7 linked regions of the Zea mays genome follow. The protein of the gene in region 2 binds, or shares a complex with, the protein of the main gene of each other region. Links are inferred from orthologs where the notes say so. Each region holds a gene or a part of one and is shown on either strand. Other genes may lie near its edges.

Region 1 (3,551 bases), about 18 Mb from region 2:
AATACCCACACGAGTACGTGTATGAGTGTGAAATTGTATCCGTGCACAAGTAGGGGTATTAGAGTGGCGAGTTTTTAGTTTGACGGAACCGAGTCTGGGGTAGCAAAACCCGGCAGGTCTTTATCTGTTACCATTTCTAATCGAGAGGCTTGGTAGTGTTAGGCTGTCTCCAACAAGGGGCGCTAAAGCGTTCGGTATGCTATATTTAGCGTTTCTCGGTGTCCGCTATCGCTCCAGCAAGAACCGGCAAATGGTCCGCTAAAATATAGCGGCAGCTCGACGACCGGTAAATGTGGAGTGTTGTTGTTCATCCGCTATCCATCCGCACAGAGTTGTTGTCTGGTTCTTCTCGTCTTCGCCAACAGCATGCCACAGCACGACAGCTCTGCTACTCCACCCGTTGAGTACCACGACAGCTCTGCTACGTTCGGTATGAGAGATTATGCACGAAATCATCTCTGTATTTTCAGTGCAGCAACGTGATTTCATTTTATTTGTGTCTTGTTGCTTTATTTTCACCTTCCAGACTGAAGTTGAGTCACATTGACTCTCCGCCAACTGGTAAGGACAGAGGCAGGGCTTCGAGGCGTTCACGAGTAGAGTACTGGTGATGTCAGAGCTTTACTCATCGTTCGATTACAGTAAAAAAAAATGCATGGGCAGTTTATTGATGCAGTGATGCTAGCCTTTTTTTCTCTTACTATGAAGATGGGGGACTATGTTGTCTTGATACCAAAAGAACTGGGAGCAATTGCATTTTTTTTGTATAATACTAATTTAAGAAACTGGTTTGTTGATTACTAGGCTTAAGGATCTGATCTGTAACAATGTCATGTGCGGGTCTTCTTGTGACATCGCAATCTCGAGGGCACCCCAAGGCCGCCAAATGTTCTAGTGTCCATTGATGCTTGGTAAGAATTCAGTTAGAGCTTTACATGCAAATTAGTACTGTATATTTATTTGTAAACATAGCACCATTGTACTACTAATTAACTGTGTATATCTAAACCCTAAACCCTAGGTTGATGAAGACGTTCTAGCAACCAACCATAGGTCGCTATAAAAAAATCGTTGTGTAGTGTATGAGAGAATTTAGAAAGAACCACTCCATATACATGGAAAAATTTAAAGGACAGGGTTACAGATAATCCTACAAAGAGTGAGTTCTCACTTGTTTTGTTGGTGTCCGTTGACCAAAGCACATGCGACAGTTTCTTACAAATATAGCGCACAGAATCACGATTTTTTTTGGCGGGGGGAGGGGTTACTGTGGGACGTCCGTAGGTGTTCAGTTCCACAGAATCGTACCGAGTTTTTATGAGCTGATTATTTCCAGAAACGAAAAAAGGGACAGGAAAAGACAGCGGAAAAATCCTGGACGGTAGGTGTCCAACTCCAGCGCACCATTATCCGCTTGCTTTTTTGTCTCTTGGCCGCAACGTGAAGTGCAGCAGCAGCCAGCAGCGGGGGCTGGAGCACTCACCAGTCACCACTCAGCAGCGATCGCAGCACCGCGGCGAGATAATGAGCAGCCTGTCCTCCGGCATCTCTGCCTCGCCATCTGCAGCGCCCAGCACCGCTCGGCGCCGCCATGACGCAGCGCCGCAGCAGCTGAGGGTGAAGGCGGCGGCGCGGCCACAGCTGCTGCACGCCGGCCGCCGGCGTTCGAGTGTCGGGAGGAGGCCGGGCGGCGGCGCGGTGGTGGTGAGGGCCGGGCCTGGGCCGCTGTCGGAGATCGAGCCGGACCTGGAGGAGGACGCCATCGACGTGTACCGCACCAACGGCATCAGCCCGGTCCGTCGTCGTCGTCCCTCGTTTCCTTCCTTTTCTTCTCTTCTCTTCTCGGTTGTCGTTCCGCGCTTAGTTAGTTAGACTAGGAACACGCAGGAAAGCAGTGAACCTTGACGTAGGTTGTGCTATGAACGAGAGCTCTGAAGAACGGAGTACGTTTCGTTCGTTCGTTCGTGGATGACACTGGAGAGGATCTGTCTTGTCTTGTCTTGTCTTGCAGGAGGACTTCGAGTACGGGAAGTATGACGGACACCACACCTATTTCGAAGGCCAAGGTATTACTATCCTCCCAGAAAAAAATAAGAACTCCATTGTTCATGATATGATATCCTTCATTGCAAAAAGAAAAAGAAATAATAGTCCACTGATTGTTTTGTGCTGTGGTGAAACAAAAACCTGCAAACAACCGCAACACCCCCCGCTTTTCTTCCCAAGACAAGAAGGGCTTCTGGGAGGATGTCTCCGAGTGGTACCAAGAAGCTGAGCCTCCTCAGGGCTTTCAAGGTACTACCACTACTGTGTAGCTCTTTCAGATCTTTATGCTTCTGCCTTGCTCATTTGTTGCACTGCATCAATGGCGGCGATCTCTTGCAGCACTCATCTCCTGGGCATTTCCTCCTGCGATCATCCTCGGCATGGCTTTCAATGTGCCGGTAAGGATCCAGCACTTCCTCCTCCCAGTACCTAGTCCCCTGTTTGGAACACGAAGTTTCCTGGTCGGAAGTGAATTGTGCTTTCTGTCGGGAAAGTGAATTGTTTCCTGTGAAATTCCTGCGCTCCAAGCATTTGTGCCCCAAAAAAAAAAAAAAAAAAAACTCGTCACCTGCATCTACTGATCGGATCGGAGACGCGTCTGCTTGTGTCGCCAGGGGGAGTACCTGTACATCGGGGCGGCCGTCTTCATCGTGGTGTTCTGCGTCATCGAGATGGGCAAGCCCGACAAGCCGCACAACTTCGAGCCGGAGATCTACATGATGGAGAGGTCGGCCCGCGACAAGCTCATCGCCGACTACAACTCCATGGACATCTGGGACTTCAACGAGAAGTACGGCGAGCTCTGGGACTTCACCGTCAACACCAGGGACGACATCGTCAAGTCGACCTAGATGCATTGCGTACACCGCTCGCTGCCCTTCAGATTGTTGCCTCACAGCAAAAAAAACCCTGTGAAAGGAAGCTGTAGCTGCTAGGAAAATCTCTTGAATAAAAAGGAAAGCCATCCTTCCTGTAAGACTGGAGAGCCTGAAAATCTGTTCTATCCTCGTGCCATATAATACACGACATGTTCTGCAGACTGTTGCTTCAACTTTCTGCATGAATTGCCTTTGTTTTCATGTTTTCTCCAATACTTTGAAGGGAAGAGAAAAAAAAACACATGCAAGACTGATGCGCTGAACAATCAAGAGCCGCTGGTTTGCCACCACCCACCCATTCTTATTATTATTCAACAAAAGGAAAATGTCATTAATTCCCCTAAAAACATGTGCAGAAAAGGGAGAATTAGGAAGGAACCATCAGGGTAACAAAACTGGGGAGAAAAAAAGGGTAAGCCTCGCAGCTGTTTCCTCTCTTTTTTTTTTACACTTGGGATGCAGCTGGCTCGCTATGAAGACGGGCTCTTCTTTTTTTTCCCGAATTCCGAAAGAGAACAAGGCTGGTCTACTGCCCTGAGGAGGAGAGAACTAGCTTTTCTTCTAGACTACACATCCCACTGATGTTTGTTTCACCTGGATGTTCTGAAGAGCTGACTGCCTAGAGTC
Region 2 (3,129 bases):
TTTTGGATAGAAAATTAGAAGATAGGGGAAGAATCTGAAGAAGGCTCCTCGAAGAAACTTCTTTACCTCCCATCCACATGTGGTGTTCTAGTTTCTGATATGCGTTTTTTTTTTGGGTTAATTCATTCATCTTATGTTCGTTGCTTCTGTGTGAGGGGAAAGCACTTCCTCGCTCTACTCGTGCGGAAGCGATCCATTCTTTCGTGTCCAACTCACACGTCAAGAATATCGAAATGTGGACCCTTTTCAGCGCGCTCTTTAATTCAGCTTACCTGAGCATCAATGGTGAAGGAAGAATGCAAGCTCATTGACCAAGGTGGCAATGATGTCGCCGATCCACAACGCGATGGAGACGAGGACAGTGATCTCGTGTGCCTGCGCTCTCGTGTTCGGCTGTGCGCCTGGGTTCTGAGAATCCTAAACGCGTCGCGGCCGTGAACTATTCACATGTATGGAAATCTGTACATGGTTCGCATTCTTTCTCTTCTGACACTCGTGCCAAAAAAATGTATGTATATCTTTATTAATTGCCTCTCTCATTCAGTGCAAAGCTGCAGGAATGGCAGGGAGAGATGTCCCAGAAGCAATTGGAGAGTGTAGCAGTAGCAGTAGCCAGTCTGGTAGACAACTAGCTAGACCTGCTTGCTTGATCATTCCTCCGCGTCCGGGTCCGGCTCGAGGCCTGCGATCTGCTTCAGTGGCTTCCAAACAAAGCTTCTCCTGCACGCGTGCAACAGGGCCACACGTACGTAATCAGGCCTTAGCCACAAGTGGTCCCGTGTGGGAAATTTAGACATGGAGGGAGGTAGAAGGAAGCGCATGTACCAGTTGCCGCATTCTGCGATCACCCTGACTTTGGGGCGGATGTCCGGGAGCATGGCCAGGAACTGCAGCTCAGCCTTGGACAGAACCTGCACGTAGACCAGACGAGAGGCCCGAAGAAGAGGTTCAGGAACAGAGCACTCGTCAGTGGTGTGCCGATCGATGGAGGCGCGTGCATGTAGATGTAAGCAGGCACCTCACCTTGGCTTCGATGATCCAGACGACGAGGCCTTTGGCGTCCGGGTGCAGCAGGCTGAGCCTGTAGTCCACCTCCGGCGGGAAGTACCACCGCGCCACCGGCTGCCTGCCGAGGCTAGGCTGCAGTCACCGCACCGCCACTCCAATCGAGTCAGTTCGTCGATCGACCGCTCGGTTCCCGCACGCGACGAAAGGACACGGCACAGCCACAGCAGCAACAACAAGCAAAGAAAGAGAGAAGGGAACGTATGTCGTGCTCACGTGATGTCCGTGCTCATGTGAGCACTTTAAATCGTGAGTGTTCTTTCTTAATCCAACGATTAGTGCTTTTTATTCACTTAAGTCCTCTCACCTTAACGATGAGTGTTCCTGGCCAGCAGCATGATCGTTAGATTAAGAAGGAACACTCACGATTTAAAGTGCTCACATGAGCACGGACGTCGCGTGAGCACGAGATACGTTCCCAAGAAACTAAAGGCGTGCTACGTACCGGGCAGACGGGGTGGACCTTGGTGAGCGTGGTCTCCGGGTCGCCGAGCCCCCGCGCGGAGAGGTCGAGGAAGTAGTAGCCCTGGTAACGGAGGCGGTTCAGGTAGCGGCCCTCGTAGCCGCCCTCGTGCGGCGGGTAGATGGCCAGCGCCTTGTGCTTCTCCACGTCGTCCAGCCACTTGCCCAGGTCCGGCCGCACCAGGTCGCCGCCCACGAAGTCCCACACCGTGCTGCGCACCGACACCGACCCCCGGCCGCCCCGCGACCCGCCGCGCCGGCCGCTGAGGAGCGAAGGCGCCGGGACTGGGGACACGGACACCGCGCGCGCCGCCGCCGCCGTTGCTGCCGACCACATGGTGCTGCTGCCTGCGGCCGTGCGTGTGGGTGGGTGGGAGTGGAAGTGGGACTGTGGGAGGAGTCGCTTGATTGCTTTTGAGCCTGTGGCGGGAAGATGGCTTGCGCTGAAGCTGAAGTGGGGAGGAGGGGTCGCGGATAAGTCTCCAATCCAGGCCGTAGGTTGGTCTGTCAGCCGAACTGCCCAAGACTGAAAGAGCAGAGTACATGTGTTACCACTTACCAATCTGTATTCAGATTCTACTCAGAGATCGCACACAGTACGGATACGTGAATTTTCTTTAGATCCAAACAAAATATTAAAATGCATTAAAAGTTACATAGATCATTAATCCTGTTAAGGCCTATTTTAGAAACTTTAGTTTATTCAGACCCGCCAATTCTGAAGGTGATTTGTGTTTCCAAAGTCTAAACTGTCCCAAAAGAATGTCATCAACTGGAAACCCACGTAAATGCATTTGTTTTAGAACGGAGGGAGTAAAATTTCGGTGTGGATCACGTTGACTTCAGAAGTTATTTGAAAAATTAAAATATAAAGAACTTAAATAAATATTTAGGCATATAACGATTTGAGGACACCAGCTTAAAAAACCTTTTAAATTAAACAGTTAGTAAAGTAGGTCACGCGCTCTTTTTGCTTTTTTTAAAGAAAGATGGATGTTGTGCATCATTTGTTGGGATGGTCGTGCTTAGTCTGTCCCAGCAGGGTTCCAAAATTTTATCCACTAAGATAATATTTCTAGTCTTTCACATCACCATTTAAAAGATTCTATCATGTATATTTTTCATGCCTTCAGCAGCAGCAACCTCTAAATTTTATCATCTATATCTCATCATCTATTTTTTTCCAGCCATATTAATGAGAAAAAATTCAAACGATATTTTTTCCATTCACCAATTGTGTACTCCCTCCGGTCCTGAAAAAGATGTCGTTTTAGACAAGGTTTGAGTGAAACATATAAAACTTTGACTATAAATAATAGTTTTGAAATCTAATATATATATACATATATATATATCTTAAAAATCACTTTTACAAAAGTATAAATATATTAAGAGTTTATTTGTATTTACAAAAATATTGGTCAAAGCTATATTTTGAAGACCGTGTTTATGTTCTAAATGACTAGCTTCTGTTGCATCGGACACTGGTCACTAGAAAAACAATCCTCTTTTAGTTTGTTCCTTATCCGCCACTAGGCAAGGCTATAGAGGAAGTTCGCGGTGGTGACAACATAAGAGGAAAAAGATGGCGCGCATGACAGG
Region 3 (2,656 bases), on a different chromosome or scaffold from region 2:
AGATACGTTTAAGACGTGGATGATTATCATAAGAAATTCCCACCATATCATAAGATTCGCGTTCTTGAAAATCGGCACTTCTCCAAACCCAGAAAACGGACGGGATTCTAGGATTATCCTTTTGGGCAAAGACTTTTATGCATACCTCTTCTGGGTTATCTATACCATACTGTATTCTCGTAAGATGATACACGCTAGCTAAAGATCCACCGGGTGCTACGTCATAAGCACATTGGGAACGTAAATAATTGTAACCATATACATATAAAATGACAGCAATGGAATCCCAATCCCCCGCTTTTATTTGTAAAGTCTCTACTCCTCGATGATCGAAGCCCAAAGACCTATGAACCACGTCATGTTTAACTAGCCAATTAGATAACCAACCCTGCTGCATTGTCTTGATCTCTCCCCCTTTGTATAAATATTTCACATTTCAAATGCAAGTTTGAAAGATTGTACTGCTCTTTTCTTTCTTTTTCTGCACAAAAGAACCCCTCCTAATTCACTAATTTGTAGGAAGATACTGAACTTTTGGATTTGAAAAAAGTTTCAGAAGATATATCTAAAGTAGATGGTGATTGATAGAGCAATTCTTGTTCGTAAGTTCCAGTGTGAGTACTGCGCCGAACATAAAGTTTGTGACGGGTAGTAAAAGATCTATTTTTCTTTTGACTTTGACATAGAGTTCGATCCTCAATTATTTCTCGCGCTATCTTCTTACGAAGTTTTGTTAGGGCATCTATAACAGCCTCTGGTTTAGGCGGGCAACCCGGCAGGTAGACGTCCACAGGAATTAACTTATCAACTCCTCGAACAGTACTATAGGAATCTGTACTGAACATGCCCCCTGTAATAGTACAGGCTCCCATAGCAATGACGTATTTCGGTTCAGGCATTTGCTCATATAATCGCACTAAAGATGGAGCCATTTTCATTGTTACCGTACCAGCTGTTAAAATTAGGTCCGCTTGTCTAGGACTTGATCTGGGTACCAATCCATAACGATCAAAGTCGAATCGTGAGCCTATTAATGAAGCAAATTCAATGAAACAACAACTGGTACCATATAGAAGGGGCCATAAACTTGAGAGTCTTGACCAATTTGAAAGATCGTTTGGTGTAGTTGAAATAACGGAATTGGAACTTGTTTGGTCGAGTAACGGAAACTCAATCAAACTCATAATTGTCCCAATGGAATCTTTTCCTTCTTTTTTTTTTTTTTCTGAATATTCAGTTAAGACCATTCCAAGGCTCCTTTTCGCCATGCATAAACTAAACCAACAACTAGGATAAGCACAAAAATGAAAGCTTCGATAAAAACGGATACACCCAATACGTCGAAACTCATTGCCCAAGGGTAGAGAAAGACTGTTTCCACATCAAAAACAACAAAAACTAGCGCAAACATGTAATAGCGTATTCGGAATTGTAACCAAGCCCCCCCCATGGGTTCTATACCCGATTCATAACTAGAAAGCTTCTCTGGTCCTTCACTAACCGGGGCTAAAAGTCCTGAAATCCAAAATACCAAAATAGGAATAAGGCTTGCTATTATTAGAAATGTCCAAAAAATATCATATTCGTGAAGCAGAAACATAAATGTACTCCCATTAATGTGGAATAGGCGGAACTGAATTAGTCAATTCAAGTTGACATTGTCAATTTATCCAGAACTTCTCTCTTTTCCTCGGTGAAACAAGAATCTGTTTTGCTCAAACCAAAGGCAAGGAGCGCTTACTTTAGCCTTTATTTCTTTTGTGATATGTCTTCCTTAAGGATTCATCCAATGTAATCCCCACTTCCCTTCTTTTTGATTTCCCTTCTATTTAGATATGATATAGACCTAATTCTTATACAAAGAAAACTCTTTCGCTTCACTTTGTCTCACTTTCTCTAGAATCTCTAGAAAAAAGAATTGCTCTACCCTTTATTTAATGATAGTCAGAGACTATTAAATAAAAAAGAAAATACTTACTACTAATTGGATTAGAACCTAATTAAAATAGGATGATTAATATATATTAAAATAGGATGATTAATATATACATCCTAATGAGGAGTAATACTAAAAAAAAGAACTCTATTTCAGAATTATGAAACAGAATATCCTGTTTTATTATTTACTCTTTCTTTTTTTTTTTCTTTCGATTTTTTCTATTTTATTTAAAGTGGATCGATTTAGATAATGTATATGATAGTAATATACTTCAAATAAAATAGGAATTCGCAAAATGGAGAAAATCGTTGCAGTCATTATAGGAAAGTATGGGAAGACTTAGAGCATATCCTATTTAAAGGAGGATGAAATTCAAATCAGGTAAGGGATCCTTCCTTCTATTGATTTGATCAAAATTCTTTTTTCTTTTCCTGTCTCTCTGATTTGCGTTTCGATGAATGAGCCTATGGTAATGCTTTTATCTCTATTCTATGGCGCAATCGACCATCGAGTCTATAAACAAGTACTAAATAAGGAAAAGAAAACTATACTAAAGGAAACATAAGATATCCATCCTAAAATGGAAAAAAGACGTATATATTAGGGCTATACGGATTCGAACCGTAGACCTTCTCGGTAAAACAGATCAAACAGATTATTATCGAAATGATTCGAACTGTTTCAAAGACCCAACATGCATTTTTCTGCATTGGGCTC
Region 4 (3,623 bases), on a different chromosome or scaffold from region 2:
AAAAATACGGGTAGGCTACTAGTTGGTTTGCCAGCCGGGACAGGGACTCCATGCCAGGTTTTACAACATGTACAAACAGTCGAAATGACATTAAATTTTTATAAGGTCTAATCGTGAATTTTTTTCCGAGGAAGAGCCAAAATGCAAAAAAAATCGGCCAAACAGGCGACTAGGCAGCCGACTACTATACATGCAGTTGAAAAAAAACATGGGAGAGAAGGTACTCCGAAATTTTCACTTCTACGGTGCCGAGATTAAAAGATGATTGCACCTGACAGCTGAAAGCTGCACCCCCAAAAAAATTGGTGTAGATTTTTCCCATCAGCTGTTATCTTAACCAGGTCCTATATTGTACTTTTGGTTGGCATTAGGCAAAGTGGTTCACTTTTTGTATTGCGTTGTGTCGTTATATCATCAAAACGTGAGGAAAAAAAAAAGATGCTGGTGGCCGCAGCTAGCGACGTAAATTATAGGATGGTGACGAGTGTGTGTATCCACTGTCAAATCCTAAATATCTTTCTTGAGCCTTATAATTTATCTAAAAAAAGTTTTTTAATACCCAAACTTGTTTGTTCTTCTAAATAGTTACTAGACTTTTGGCAATCCATATTATCTTCCTCTTTGGAACAATAATAGATGCACTAAGATCGTGTCTAGCAGTTACTCACATGGTTATCCAAAACACTGTTATGCACAGTAGATTGCACTATCTGTGGAGTGAAATTTGAATACGGAGATGAAGATGGATAAGCTATTAGAGATATTCTAATAAATTTTGTCTTTATACCATAGTATACTTTGCAAGTAAATAATAAGAATCAAATTTAATAGAAGGTGTACCTTTATTCTTGTTCTTGCAGTACTGCTATAAGTACATAACTTGCTTGCATTAGTACATAACTTGCTTGCATTTTGACCGGAACCCATCATTATCCTTCACAAAAGTAGTTTTGCGACTTATAAAGGTCACCTCGATATTCTTATGGTGTAAACTAATCCCGTTTTATTGAGAGAAAACCTTTGACCATCAAGCATTTTAGGCCTAGTTTAGATACTCTTGGAAGAGGGGGTTGAAGTGCATTGAAATGTATCCAATCAAAACAGACAACACTTGCCATGTCATCGATCACGACCTGCCACGTCAAACGGGGTCGCATATCAGCGTATTTGTCCGCGGCAGGGAGATTTACACGGTCATACGGGTTGGTTTTAGAAACAAAATTACTCTGATGTTAATTTTTAGAAATTGATTTAGAAAATGATTAAAATAAGAAAACTACGTGGGCTGTAGACTGTCCCGAAACTTGCGGCTCGGCCCGGTAAAACCACGGGCCTGCTGCTGCAGTGGCCGGCTGAAACATCCAGAGCCCATGCTGCCTCCGCGCGACGAATTTCGGGGCGTCATTATAAAGACCCGAGCCTGCGCGCCTTGCAGCCACAGTCTGGGGATAATAATCCACACTCCACAAGCAGCCATGGCGCCACCCATCACGTCCCTGTCGTCTCTGATGGCGTCCAGCCCAATCCCGACGCCGCCGCCGCCGCTCCCGAAGACCAGCGGCAGAGCGCTCTCCGTCGCGCCCTGCGGCTCCGCGTCGTCCTCGTCGCCGTCCACTTCCTCGACTCCTCATCCGGTGGCGGCGTCGGCGTCGGCGGGCAGGAGGGGGCTGCTGGCGCTGGGCGCCGGGTTCCTGGCCTCGGCCGCGCTGCTGTCCCCGGCGGGCGACGCCGGCGCCACGCGCATCGAGTACTACGCGACGGTCGGGGACAAGATGTGCGACCTGAGCCTCGTCAAGTCCGGCCTCGCGTACTGCGACGTCGAGGTCGGCACCGGCGTCCAGCCCCCGCGCGGCGAGCTCATCAATGTCAGTACCGAGACCACCGTCTCTTCTTTCCTGCATGCCTTGCGCCTTCCTCTGACTTAACCTACTCTGTAATAGTACAGTGGTCCATTTCCCTTCTGCACGAGTAACTCAGCAACATATGCCGCCATCCTGTTCTGCGTTCTGTGTGCTGCTTGCTTCGGATCCTAATTATATTCGTCCTCTCGATGGTCATCAGGTGCACTACACCGCGAGATTTCCCGACGGTACGCTGTTCGACAGCAGCTACAAGCGCGGGAGGCCACTGACGATGCGCATAGGCGCAGGCAAGGTGTGCATGTATAAGCATCCATTGTCGCTCACTGAAAACGACGTTCAGTTTTCATGCCAGTAAAAAATGATGGTCTGTTTCTTTCGCGTTCTCCGCGTGCAGATCCTCCGAGGGCTTGAACAGGGGATCAGTGGCGGCGGCGGTGTGCCGCCCATGCTTGTTGGTACGGACAGGAACTTGAGCAGTTTTTAGCTGTGCATTAAATATAGAGGCTTTGCTAATTTGGCTTGCTGTTCCATGACTGATGACTCCGTTGCAAACCTGCCTCAGGTGGAAAGCGCAAGCTGATGATACCTGCGTCACTGGCGTACGGGCCTGAACCGGCAGGCTGCTTCTCAGGTCGATTTTCAGAACTGCGCTAAATGACTTCGTACACCATAGATAAGCAAACTGCTCTCGCTCTAGAATTGTCAAGGAGACTGCTTCTCTAGTTTTTTCTTTTGTTTTTCTTTTTTTGACAGGAGACTGCAACATCCCCGGAAACTCCACACTTCTATATGACCTTTTCCTCGTCGGGATCTACAAGTGAGCCCTCGATGACAGGGAATGTTCAGAACCTAAGAGCAGAGACAAGGTCTGTCTGATATGTGTGCCGTGCACAGCGTTATTCTGAACTCGCCTGGTTTTCTGTGACTCACGTCCTTCTTTCCAGAGTAACCGATCGTTTTCGTGTGTCACACATGGAGGGTTTCAGGAGGAATTCTTGGCGGTGAAAGCACCTGCAGAGGCAGAGCCACTTGCAGAAGCTTCTGTACTCCAGAGAGCTACCTGGATTGAATAAAATGATGATATATATAAACCATCCTTGTTACGTAATAACGCCATTGTGGAACTTTGTAAAGACCAATCATATTGTTGACTATATAGCAGTTTGATACAGCCAAAGCGAGCAAGTTATCGGAGGTGTATGTCACATGCGCCACCAGCTTTGCTTGCACAGCCGATACGGAATCGTGAATTTGTTTGTGTCAGTCAGACTGTCAGCGTGACTGGCGAATGGCGTCAAACCCTTCAGCATTCGATCAATCATGCCGACTAAACACTCACGATTCGGATGTGCAGAGAGGTCTCGCGCTCGTGCCTGACACATGTGTGCCCGTAGTAGCTTGGAGCAAAAATTCTCATCGACCGGTTCAGACGGTGCCCGCCTCTGCTGTCTGCCTGAATTGGGGAGGCTGCTGAAGCAACAAAGGCGAAGCTAAACCACTGGCACCATTTCCATGGGTTGTGAAGACGTAGATTTGCAGAAGCGAAAGCGTAAGATAGGACCAAGCCGCATTAGCCGTTGGAGCGCCACATCGGGATCGGGAAACTATTTTGCTTGTGAGAGAGTATCACTGTCACATCACTGGGATGGTTGGGCTTGGGTTATAGGTACTAAAAAAAGTTCCAGTGCAATTTGACCTCACCTCTTTGGCTCTATGTCATTGGTGGTTCCTGGGAGCGCCGAGAGCTGTTTCCTCGGGCCT
Region 5 (3,233 bases), on a different chromosome or scaffold from region 2:
AGGATCATATATTGTCCCCACATACCAACACAAGTCTTTTGTGCGCACTTTGTCCTCACTCATGCGCACCCGAGAAAACTTCCCGGTCGGTCACCCATCCCAAATTGCTCCAAGCCAAGCACGCTTAACTTGGAGGTTCTTTCAAGATAGGCTTCCGAAAAAGAATATGCACCTTGTTGGTATGATTACACTATTAATTCTATTAAGCCTTGGGCCAGGACATCCCATCCCAGGGGCCAGGATATCACAATCCACCCCCCTTAGAAGACCGACGTCCTCGTCGGTCAACCCCAATCCAGGAACCTCCCCTCTTGGCCACGTCTGTATGTCTAGTGTCGTCATATGCCATGCCATGTGACCACTCCGGGCCCAGATGCGCCATGCGCCATATACCCGAACCCCCTAGCCCACACACGCCCGTGAAACCGCGAGGGTCGGCTCTGATACCACTTGTAACACCCCGTCCAATCCCTGGACCGGCGGTACTTACTCCTGGCAGCTCTCTAGGATCATATATTGTCCCCACATACCAACACAAGTCTTTTGTGCGCACTTTGTCCTCACTCATGCGCACCCGAGAAAACTTCCCGGTCGGTCACCCATCCCAAATTGCTCCAAGCCAAGCACGCTTAACTTGGAGGTTCTTTCAAGATATGCTTCCGAAAAAGAATATGCACCTTGTTGGTATGATTACACTATTAATTCTATTAAGCCTTGGGCCAGGACATCCCATCCCAGGGGCCAGGATATCACAATTTGTTCGGTTATTTTCAATCTATAGATTGGAAGAGATTGATACGTATTGAGAGAGATTTTGACTTACTAAGGATTGAAACCCTTTAATCACCTTCAATTTATATGGATTGGCATAGAAGGGAAGACCCCTCTCCCTCCCTTTCAACTACACTAGTTACCAATGGCACAAATCTCGTAGCATCTGCAGTGGCTACCAATGGCACAAATCATGTCTTGTATCGGGCGACAAAACCGCTAGTCACAAGAGTGCTGAGGCCAAAGCTGAGAGACTGGAGACGGCAGTAACGAAGATCCAAGCATTGTTGCCGTTTCAAGAAGACCTCTCCCTGATGATACCGTGGAACGCAAACCTGATGCGCGTTATCATGGGAGGCGACACCCAAAATCCTGAATTACAAAAACATTATTAATTTAATCACAGTTAAAAATTACAACAAGGGGATGTAGCTCAAATGGTAGAGCGCTCGCTTTGCATGCGAGAGGTACGGGGTTCGATCCCCCGCATCTCCAAACTGTTTTTTACCCCCCTTGTTTTATTTTTTTTACCTCTTCTCCCTCATTGTCACTTGGTCAGTACTCAGTACTACTCAGGATAACTGTGCGGACGAATTCGATTGCGTACCGTCTAAACTGACAGCGCAAGTGTTCGTGCGGCGGGAAAATTTCTGCAGTTTCATTTCTCGTTCGGAATATGGTTACCGTTCCTTTTTCTTTTTGTACATGTGGCCATTGGCTAAGTGAACAGCGACACCTCATCGCCTCGCCCTCCTACCACGACAACTGGAACGTGCGAGCCTCATCACCTCCCGACTCCCCTCCACGCCTTGGAATGCTGCCTGCGCAGACGCTAACACACACGTTTCCCATGGCAGCGTCCACGGCCTCGCGCATCTTCACGCCCTTCCTCCACCGGCACCAGCGGCGCACGAAGGCAGTCGTGGTCGCAGCCGCGAGCCCGCCCGACGCCGAACCGACTCCTGCGACGGCGGACGGTGCAGGGCCGGGGAAGAAGAAGACGGTGGACACCAGGATACACTGGTCCAACCCCGACGAAGGGTGGGTAGGAGGCAAGGCCAAGAAGGAAGGCGACGGCCGCGGCAGCAGCAAGAACGAGCCGTTGGGAGGGAGGTTCGCGGACCTCATCAACAACGCGGCCGAGTCTCACTACCAGTTGAGTTCATCTCCAATCCATGCTCATATGTCCTTTTGGATTGCCGTCCAGCTGTACATAAATTTGTAGAGCTCTGTTCGAGACACTGTCATCATCATGTCAATACTTTGTTACTAACGGCGACACATGACTGAACTGCAAAATCTATCACCCAGGTTCCTTGGCATAGCGCCAGAGGCGGACATCGAGGAGATCAAGACGGCGTACCGGCGGCTGTCCAAGGAGTACCACCCGGACACGACGACGCTGCCGCTCAAGGTGGCGTCGCAGAAGTTCATCCGCCTGCGAGAGGTGTACAACGTGCTGAGCAAGGAGGAGACACGGCGGTTCTACGACTGGACACTGGCGCAGGAGGCCGAGAGCCGCCGCCTGCAGCAGCTCAGGTCCAGGCTCGAGGACCCATACGAGCAGGACATCATCAACTACAAACCCGTGCCAGACATGGTTGACCGCCTCGGCGGCAAGAACATGAAGCTTAGCGATCAGGCCATGACTGCGCTCACCATCGATATCGTTATCATCATCATCTCCATCTGCTGCATCATCTATGCTGTTTTCTTCAAGGAGCAGTACTGACAGCAGCATACCAGCAACAGCAGCAAGGTTGCAGGAGTGTACCATAGACAGAACATTATAGGTAAATTAACTGATAATGCCCTAAGATTGTCTTTTGGGATGTTATCATGCACTGCATCATGTAATGTCCAATAGAATAAGGTAGGAACGACGATTATTCATGGTTTGTTGCCAACAATCCTATATTTGCATAATCAAATCATAATTCCAGTATAAATCTGTGACATCATAATTTATTGCGTCAAATCAAAAGACAATCTGAAAAGAGGGCAAAATTCCCTAACAAGATATCTTGTGCTCTTGCTGTACTCTACTTGGAACTTGGTTAAATAAGTGAGATGGAACTGGAGGTAATCTCCCATGCGATACATGAAACTACAGCATGGGTTGTAGGTATCAATCATCTAATGCCTAACCTTCACACTCAATGATCTTGACAACAGAAGAATCACCAATCTTTTCAAAGATTATCAACCTGTCGAAAGGCTTCACTATGCCAACCGACCGACCATAGCTCATCGCAAGTTTTATCCCATACTCTTCCTTTGTTAGCCCACCAGTTTCGGCCTATTACAGAGTTTTAAGCATTCATGGTTAGCCATATGTTTTTTTACATGTAACTCTAATGTTAGGGAAAAATACAATTGCTTACATACCTCATCAGTACTCCCCATCAAAGGGTACACGCCTCTCACTGCGAAACATTGTCTTGCCTGAAAGTGGTTTAATA
Region 6 (3,850 bases), on a different chromosome or scaffold from region 2:
ATCTGACACCTGGACAGAAGCAACGGATTGCCATCGCTAGGGTGGTTTTGAAGAACGCACCTATATTGCTGTTGGACGAGGCCAGCTCTGCGATCGAGTCTGAATCGAGTAGAGTGGTGCAAGAAGCTCTAGACACTCTGGTCATGGGTAACAAGACAACGATTCTCATTGCGCACAGGGCGGCAATGATGAAGCATGTTGATAACATCGTCGTCTTGAATGGCGGTAGGATAGTTGAGCAGGGCACACATGACTCTCTGATGGACCAGAACGGTCTATATGTTAGATTGATGCAACCCCATTTTGGCAAGGGCCTTCGCCAGCATCGGCTAATGTAATTATTCTTTTGAGTTTGTTTAGGTGTAAATTATCCTAGGGGATGATCAGGTTTCCTTGTGCGGCCACTCAGTCAGGGGCCCTTTTCGGCACATGAAAAATGCTGGGAGTTGCCGCCCTGTTGCTGTTCCGAGTAAGCCGACCTGGTCTTCTTGACAAAAAAATAAAAAAAATAGCTTGCAGATCCAAGTAATTCTGGAAATAGTTAGCAAGTTTGGAGGGCATTGTAATTGTTGTAATATATGAGCTGAAACATTCTTTCAGAGGCTCGTGCTTGTGGTGTCTCTCGCCTCTGTAATATTAGTGTTGCACCGACATGTTCACGGAGCGTGTAATTTTGGGAGCCACGAACCGACAGCAATGCAACCACATTCCCCCCCCCCCCCCCCCCCCCCCCCCCCCCATCTTTCGCTAAACAAGTTGCCGCACCATGCTCATGAGGCCGTCACAGAAGCAAGCGATCACGCCGTCAGGTCCGAGATCTTGAAGGAGTCCGCGACGACTTTGAGCCTGTTCCGCAGCCTGCTCCACCGGCGCTCGTTCGCGGTCACGATCAGCGTGTAGTACCGACCTAGTTAGAGCAAAAAACAAACAAACAAACAGAGTTTCATCTCTCTCTATTTCAACGCGAAGCGAAACACATGAACGTTTCCCGTTCATAGGTATCATACCGTTTCCAATGGCGACCGTCGCAAACGCAGAAACGCCGTAGCCCGGAGCCTCCAGATCGTACTCAAACGTCCAGTAGTTCTTGCCGTCCACGGTGCGCTGCAAAAATAGTAGGATAGGCCGCTTATTTCACTAGCACCATTTTTTTTATTTTTTTGCTCAGAGTTATCCAACTAGATTTGGCAACTCCAAACAAATGATAATTGCATGCATAAAGCGATGAACAGATGACAGACCTCTTGCATGTCGTAGATCGACGGTATTTGGTTCGGGGCAGCGTAGACGTTGTTTACCAGGTTGAAGATGGCCTGGTGTAATGTGGAAAAAAAAACATATTCATCACATCAGCAAAAGTGATTATCAGAGCTAAAACGTATATAATTTAAACGGAGGAGAGAGTATGTGTTTTATCTTTTGTGCCTAATCAAAGTGAAGAACACATAGTTTTTCCATAAAAAAGAAGAAGAATACATAGTCGAAAGAAGGAAACAAAACCCCCACCTCATCCATCGGTCCTAGGTCGCGGATGTCTGTTTTCTCGGTAGGAATGAACCCCACACGAACACACTGAAGGGCCAGGTTGCGGTCTTTGAACGCAGAATCATGACCCAAGAAGTCGAAATCCTATCCAGGGACAAGGGAACGAAGGCACCATGAAAATCACCCTACAGTTCTTAACTGTTCAAGAATCGATCGCATGGCGCCAACCTACCCTCCATTCAGCTGGATAAAGGTACGAGTACCCGTCTTTCGCGTCCACGTACGACTTGTAATTCTTCGGCACCTCTGAACAGCTCCGATCAGTGTCAAACAGGTAAGAAACGCAAAAAAAACGCTGCTCGAGGACACCGTCCTAGTCCGATCCTGATAGATACAATGCCAGGCCATCTATATAGGGATGATCGTTACCTTCAGCGAACGCAGCAGAGCTTGTCCTCAGTAGGCCAGTGGCTAACGCTCCAGCACCAAGCAAAGCTAGCCGTCTCTTCGTGACCTCTATACAAGCGGAGAGATGTTATGAACCAGGATTCTGTCGACCACTAGATGCATGAACGGAAAAAAAACAACAACAACAACAAAAGGGGGGGTTACTGGTGTCGTCCAAAGATCCTTGGATCGAGCTCGCCGCCACAGCTGAGGGAGGAGCCCTGTTCAGTTTGGTAGTCGCCGCGCAATTTGGCACAGCCAGCTGGAAACAAGCAACGGGTTCAAGCTGTTATTACTCCTCAGAACTGCAGGGAAAGTAAATGAATTCCAGAAAAAAACAGTGAGGAAGGGGCTTGAGCACGTACTTGTTTGGATACGGAGCAGACCAGGTTCTGCAGGCTCGCCATTTCGGCTTCAGTTGTTCAGGGTAGCGCTGAGCTCGAGGGAGAGTTCTGTGAAGCTTGTTACCCCCATCGTCAGTTATCCATAGCTGCTGGACACGCTCGAGCTCACTTTTCCACTATCGAGTGGGTGGTGGAACCGTGGAAGGGCTCGCTTTTCCCCTATCGAGTGTGTGGGTGGAAGCCAAGGCAGCCAAGTCAGCATGCTCATTATCCTCTCATTTCAGCACTCTTGCTTCTTTGTCTTGGACAGAGCACTGGCTGACAAAAATGGGCGTCCCTCTCAACAGGCAAACAGCCCTTCTGGTGGGTAGGTCGTTGATGACCCAAGACGAACTGTTCTGAATACAGTGATTTTTATGCCAAAAAAACAAAATTTCCAGGTTACATAATTTCATGACACCATGATAAGCGATATACAACAACGGCCACAATTATTCAATGCTAGTAAGCCTGTTGCATAATGCAGCTAGGTTTATTTGTTTTTTTCCTTAGTTGATTTATTAGTTTTTTCTTAGCTAATTGATAGTTGATCAATTAGTTCCCTTTTTTAACTAATTGATAGTTGTTTGTTAGTTTCCTTTCTTAACTAATTGGTTGATTTTTCCTTAGTTAATTGATAGTTAATTAAATAGTTTCAATAGTGTTTGAATGAGAGTCACGTACGAACGAGGTAAACACCAGAGTAGTTTTTGGTGGCGGCGTGATGCTAAAAAATCGAGGGGCGCCTCATCCCATGTTGACCTTAAACCAAACACAGTAAAAGACACTAGGCGCCATTCAAATCCACAACACATCAATAATCTTATAAGTTTTACCGAGCAAGCACTAACATGGCACCGGCCTAGGATTTAGGCAGCATGGCCATGGCCCGTGGCAGGACGTGCTGCAGCTTGAGCTGATGATTTATTACTTCCTTTCACTGCAAGGCCTTTTGCTCGCCAAACTATGACCATAAGTGCCGGAGCCGGAGCCGGAGCTTCTCCCCTGGCTTGAGTCTGCGGTGGCCGGAACCGGAACGACATCCTGCGGCGATTCTGCGACGTCCACCAAGAACATGTCAGGGTCGAAATGCTCCTGGCTCGAGCTCGAGGAAGCGAAGCCAAGCAGCGACGGCTGAACGGCGCAGGTGTCCAGAGACGAGTCGATGCTCCTGTGGCCGAAGCCGCTGGACGACGCAACGCAGTAGTAGCCAGTTCCCGCACGGGCACGCTGCCCCCGCGGCCCGAACGCGGCAGGAGCGAGTGCCTGGGCCTGGGCCTGGGCCTGGGCCTGGATGTGCTCGTAGCCGGTGGCGGCGAACGCGTCAGGCCGCGCGACTCTGGAGCACGATGCTCCGGGAACCGCCGCCTTCATCCGGGCGTTCCTTGCCTGGAGGTCCGCGAGCAGCATCCTCGCCTGGTTCCTGGCCTCGTCCCTTTCTTGCATCCTCCTCCGTGCGAGCGTGGCCAGATGCCAGATTGCATCGTCAGCCTCCGCAGACAAAGCGAGGATCTTTTGCCGCTCCAGTCTGGCCC
Region 7 (2,874 bases), on a different chromosome or scaffold from region 2:
GACGAAGTACTCAGCAGCAGCATAGCATGGTGGTGTTCCCTAATTTTAATTATTTAGGGCTAGTTTGGGAACCCAATTTCCTAAGGGATTTCTATTTTTCCAAGGGAAATTAGTTCATTTTCCCATGGAAAAATAGAAATCCCTTAGAAAATTGAGGTTCCCAAACTAGCCCTTACTGTATCTTTATGCTTCTGTAGAACATTGAGCTAGAAGACCAATTCAGACCATGGAGCGATGAATTTAAAAAGTACCGAGTTGTCATGGAATGTTTGTAGAGGGTTTACCCATACTAGCCATTACTCCATCCAGTTCAGAAAGTCGTTTGGTAAGTTAGCGCGGTCGTCTCTGTGCAACTCTCTGACCTCATGTGGTATTCGGTGATACGTATCTATTAGCAGAAACTATGGTATTGTGTACTGTAACCCAATTCGAGTGCCCTAGAAACAGAAGGGGTATCTAAACTCGAGCAAACCCTTATTTTGCCCAGACTCTCGTTATGTGGTTATTACTGTGCAGGGGTGACAAAATTCTGCCAACAGAATCGGTGTATGGCTTTGCATCTGCGTAATATGAATTCTGGAATGCTCTGGATCGTATCTGGGACTGCAGAGTATACATCTTGCTCGGTAATCGAATGGAGAGAAACCATTCTTTTAAGGGCGTTGGATAAGTACATTCTATATCTTTTCTGGTATCTGGTTGCTGTTGAACTTGATGCGAGGCTTGCCCATGCTGAAATTGAGGACTCTGGACCTCATGTTGTACTTGATCACCCCGTCGTACAGCAGTTTGCGGATGTAGTGCTCAAGGTCTGACCCGATCAACCGAAGTGTGTACTCCGACAGCTCAGCCCCCTGTTTCAAAGCAGAAACGAGCTCAGCTATCCTCTTACCGATCACTTCTTTTGCCAAGACCGTATGTTTTATTTTTTTGGCAGGAGTGGCTCTAAAGTAGATGAAAAGGGGGGAAATGACCGTACGAATTTCAGACAACAAGAGATTCAATTCAAATTTTTTTTATCTACTATCGGAGCTGTTGGAGTGGGAGCAACTACAGAGGTTACCTCGTAGTGATCGACGAGGTCCTGGAACTCGTTGAAGACCATCTGGCAGGCCTCGTCGGTCCAGGCGAACTCGTCCTGGGGGTCGAGCATGAGCGTCAGCTTGTCCATCTGCGTCTGGTCGAACGCGTTGGTCACCGGGTCGATGTACGCAGCGTAGATGCGGACGTGCCGCGTGGTGCTGCTCAGCCACTGCCCGCCGTACTCGCGGCTCATGTTCTTGCTCTCCGCCAAAGGCTGCCGCGGCAGGGACTGCGCGTCCCCCTTCCTCGCCTGCTTCTCCGCGTCCTGTGGCGGCGGCACGCTCGCCACCTCGGCCTCCTCCTCCTTCACCTGCTGCTCTTGCTGCGCTCGCGCCGGAGGGACCCTGACGCTGATACGTCCCGCCGTTTTGGGGCTAGCGAACCGACGCCCCTGCAGCGGCAGCTTGGCCGGGGGTAGAAACGCCGTGGTCGCCATGTTTGTGGTGGCCTCTCGCCTGCTTCTTCGCCTGTGCTTTGGCTAGTGCTGGATTTTTGTCGTTCCGCGCGTGCAGCAGCTTAGCCACAAGCGGAGAGCGTGGCTTGTGTCGCGTACTTTTTTGTGTGTGTGGATAAGGGCCGTTTCTGCCACTGACTTCGGTTTCGGTTTGCACTTTTGCACAGCGCACCATTGGGCCAAGCAGGCTTCCAGACTCATTGGGCTCTGAACGCTGGTGCGGCGGTTGCCTTGCGATTTCGGGGTACGCGGTTTGTCGTCAGTCTCGCACAGAGTACTGAAGAGCACCAGCTTTCATCGCCATTGCACAAGCATTACGCACAACACTACGTAAATTCAGCTTGGAAGACGCCTAACCCGGCAATCTCCGAACCTGTACATACACATTACACTACGTACGGACACTTGCAACATATGTACAATAGCGTGCAGAACTGCCTGTTATTACAGTATTGTTACAGCTCACAAATCTAATCACACGAATCAAATAATCGTGCTAAGCAACCAATGAGCAAGCACCACGAACTAGCCATGCAAGTTCGTTTCCACCGGCAGCAGCAGCGTATTTGGAAGAAGGCCGGTGCTGCCTGCATCTGCGAGGGGTATCACGGGGAGCTTCTCGCAGTCGCAGACCTCGACCACATTGCCGTCTGGGTCGCGGAAGAAGAGCTGCTCCACCACCGTCTCGCCGTCTCACACCCGCGCCGCCACGAACTCCAGCTCCATGTCACCCAGCCTCGTCTTCATGAGCCCCATGTCCGTGCACTGCACGCCATTGCCAAACGAGCACACCCGATCAGCGGGTGCTTACTGGTTACTGCTACTACTAAGTACTCGTACTAACTAAGCAGGTCAACTCTGCGCGAGAGCAAGGATCCTCTCTGCTTGGATTGGACTAAATTTGGCTGCCTATCCAGTTTCTTAATTCTGCGAGAGCGCTCTGGTGGTCACCTGAAAGGAAATGTGGTTGCCCTTGGGGTTGATCGCCGGCGGTCTTGCAGCTGCCGGAGCGTTGGGCGACGAATCCGAGCCGCGCTGCAGTAGATATATCCCCATGCCGTACCTGTGCATCCTGGAAAGCACGCAACGAGTTGACCTCACCTTGGCGAAAATAATAATAATAATAATAATAATAATAATAATAATAATAATAATAATAATAATAATAATAATAATAATAATAATAATAATAATAATAATAATAATAATAATAATAATAATAATAATAAATCGATGGACAAGAAACAGGCACTAGCTAGGCAGTGGTATATATGTAGTGCGAAATGGCTGCTCACCATGCTCCTCCGAAGTCGAGGGACGCCGGGCGTTTGACGAGC

Evidence for each region.
Region 1: NAD(P)H-quinone oxidoreductase subunit N, chloroplastic (region 2) and Photosynthetic NDH subunit of subcomplex B 5, chloroplastic-like share a complex: the UniProt entries of both Arabidopsis thaliana proteins name them as parts of the chloroplast NDH complex. The link is inferred for Zea mays from reciprocal best matches to the Arabidopsis thaliana genes NdhN and PnsB5.
Region 3: the proteins of NAD(P)H-quinone oxidoreductase subunit N, chloroplastic (region 2) and ndhK are in contact, whole or in part, in a cryo-EM structure (PDB 7WFG), measured with the Arabidopsis thaliana proteins. The link is inferred for Zea mays from reciprocal best matches to the Arabidopsis thaliana genes NdhN and ndhK. Residues at the interface, in NP_200634.1 of Arabidopsis thaliana: Pro80, His81, Gly83, Gly84, Tyr85, Glu86, Gly87, Arg88, Leu90, Asn91, Arg92, Leu126, Lys128, Tyr142, Ala146, Pro148, Pro149; in NP_051063.1 of Arabidopsis thaliana: Ser3, Ile4, Lys5, Phe6, Pro7, Thr20, Asp24, Trp28, Thr117, Asp118, Thr151, Arg154, Lys155, Ala158, Arg159.
Region 4: NAD(P)H-quinone oxidoreductase subunit N, chloroplastic (region 2) and Photosynthetic NDH subunit of lumenal location 4, chloroplastic share a complex: the UniProt entries of both Arabidopsis thaliana proteins name them as parts of the chloroplast NDH complex. The link is inferred for Zea mays from reciprocal best matches to the Arabidopsis thaliana genes NdhN and PnsL4.
Region 5: NAD(P)H-quinone oxidoreductase subunit N, chloroplastic (region 2) and NAD(P)H-quinone oxidoreductase subunit T, chloroplastic share a complex: the UniProt entries of both Arabidopsis thaliana proteins name them as parts of the chloroplast NDH complex. The link is inferred for Zea mays from reciprocal best matches to the Arabidopsis thaliana genes NdhN and NdhT.
Region 6: NAD(P)H-quinone oxidoreductase subunit N, chloroplastic (region 2) and photosynthetic NDH subunit of lumenal location 1, chloroplastic share a complex: the UniProt entries of both Arabidopsis thaliana proteins name them as parts of the chloroplast NDH complex. The link is inferred for Zea mays from reciprocal best matches to the Arabidopsis thaliana genes NdhN and PnsL1.
Region 7: NAD(P)H-quinone oxidoreductase subunit N, chloroplastic (region 2) and NAD(P)H-quinone oxidoreductase subunit M, chloroplastic share a complex: the UniProt entries of both Arabidopsis thaliana proteins name them as parts of the chloroplast NDH complex. The link is inferred for Zea mays from reciprocal best matches to the Arabidopsis thaliana genes NdhN and NdhM.

The regions. Positions count from the first base shown.
Region 1 is NC_050098.1:158,250,019-158,253,569, reverse strand, and holds Photosynthetic NDH subunit of subcomplex B 5, chloroplastic-like, read left to right. Parts: upstream 1-1,481; 5' UTR 1,482-1,524; coding exon 1,525-1,794; intron 1,795-2,011; coding exon 2,012-2,066; intron 2,067-2,226; coding exon 2,227-2,295; intron 2,296-2,385; coding exon 2,386-2,444; intron 2,445-2,660; coding exon 2,661-2,897; 3' UTR 2,898-3,051; downstream 3,052-3,551. Other genes in the region: putative transmembrane protein kinase family protein, read right to left, coding at 3,515-3,551. UniProt on the Arabidopsis thaliana protein: NDH shuttles electrons from NAD(P)H:plastoquinone, via FMN and iron-sulfur (Fe-S) centers, to quinones in the photosynthetic chain and possibly in a chloroplast respiratory chain.
Region 2 is NC_050098.1:176,087,909-176,091,037, reverse strand, and holds NAD(P)H-quinone oxidoreductase subunit N, chloroplastic, read right to left. Parts: upstream 1,932-3,129; 5' UTR 1,865-1,931; coding exon 1,511-1,864; intron 1,141-1,510; coding exon 1,024-1,140; intron 912-1,023; coding exon 826-911; intron 721-825; coding exon 651-720; 3' UTR 501-650; downstream 1-500. UniProt on the Arabidopsis thaliana protein: NDH shuttles electrons from NAD(P)H:plastoquinone, via FMN and iron-sulfur (Fe-S) centers, to quinones in the photosynthetic chain and possibly in a chloroplast respiratory chain.
Region 3 is NC_001666.2:50,618-53,273, forward strand, and holds ndhK (NADH dehydrogenase subunit K), read right to left. Parts: upstream 1,185-2,656; coding exon 501-1,184; downstream 1-500. Other genes in the region: ndhJ (NADH dehydrogenase subunit J), read right to left, coding at 1-397; ndhC (NADH dehydrogenase subunit 3), read right to left, coding at 1,238-1,600. UniProt on the Arabidopsis thaliana protein: NDH shuttles electrons from NAD(P)H:plastoquinone, via FMN and iron-sulfur (Fe-S) centers, to quinones in the photosynthetic chain and possibly in a chloroplast respiratory chain.
Region 4 is NC_050100.1:216,381,105-216,384,727, forward strand, and holds Photosynthetic NDH subunit of lumenal location 4, chloroplastic, read left to right. Parts: upstream 1-1,456; 5' UTR 1,457-1,475; coding exon 1,476-1,865; intron 1,866-2,061; coding exon 2,062-2,154; intron 2,155-2,256; coding exon 2,257-2,317; intron 2,318-2,424; coding exon 2,425-2,493; intron 2,494-2,615; coding exon 2,616-2,683; 3' UTR 2,684-2,728; intron 2,729-2,806; exon of another isoform or gene 2,807-2,848; 3' UTR 2,849-3,123; downstream 3,124-3,623. UniProt on the Arabidopsis thaliana protein: NDH shuttles electrons from NAD(P)H:plastoquinone, via FMN and iron-sulfur (Fe-S) centers, to quinones in the photosynthetic chain and possibly in a chloroplast respiratory chain.
Region 5 is NC_050099.1:14,035,709-14,038,941, forward strand, and holds NAD(P)H-quinone oxidoreductase subunit T, chloroplastic, read left to right. Parts: upstream 1-1,474; 5' UTR 1,475-1,585; coding exon 1,586-1,926; intron 1,927-2,082; coding exon 2,083-2,503; 3' UTR 2,504-2,733; downstream 2,734-3,233. Other genes in the region: Pyruvate kinase 1, cytosolic, read right to left, coding at 2,915-3,070, 3,160-3,216. UniProt on the Arabidopsis thaliana protein: NDH shuttles electrons from NAD(P)H:plastoquinone, via FMN and iron-sulfur (Fe-S) centers, to quinones in the photosynthetic chain and possibly in a chloroplast respiratory chain.
Region 6 is NC_050096.1:42,029,568-42,033,417, reverse strand, and holds photosynthetic NDH subunit of lumenal location 1, chloroplastic, read right to left. Parts: upstream 2,524-3,850; 5' UTR 2,340-2,523; coding exon 2,298-2,339; intron 2,219-2,297; coding exon 2,098-2,218; intron 2,002-2,097; coding exon 1,915-2,001; intron 1,792-1,914; coding exon 1,718-1,791; intron 1,630-1,717; coding exon 1,507-1,629; intron 1,314-1,506; coding exon 1,242-1,313; intron 1,105-1,241; coding exon 1,008-1,104; intron 908-1,007; coding exon 798-907; 3' UTR 501-797; downstream 1-500. Other genes in the region: ABC transporter B family member 20, read left to right, coding at 1-338. UniProt on the Arabidopsis thaliana protein: NDH shuttles electrons from NAD(P)H:plastoquinone, via FMN and iron-sulfur (Fe-S) centers, to quinones in the photosynthetic chain and possibly in a chloroplast respiratory chain.
Region 7 is NC_050097.1:23,630,826-23,633,699, forward strand, and holds NAD(P)H-quinone oxidoreductase subunit M, chloroplastic, read right to left. Parts: upstream 1,688-2,874; 5' UTR 1,520-1,687; coding exon 1,064-1,519; intron 855-1,063; coding exon 678-854; 3' UTR 501-677; downstream 1-500. Other genes in the region: uncharacterized LOC100502247, read left to right, coding at 198-275; uncharacterized protein, read right to left, coding at 2,231-2,302, 2,489-2,609, 2,833-2,874. UniProt on the Arabidopsis thaliana protein: NDH shuttles electrons from NAD(P)H:plastoquinone, via FMN and iron-sulfur (Fe-S) centers, to quinones in the photosynthetic chain and possibly in a chloroplast respiratory chain.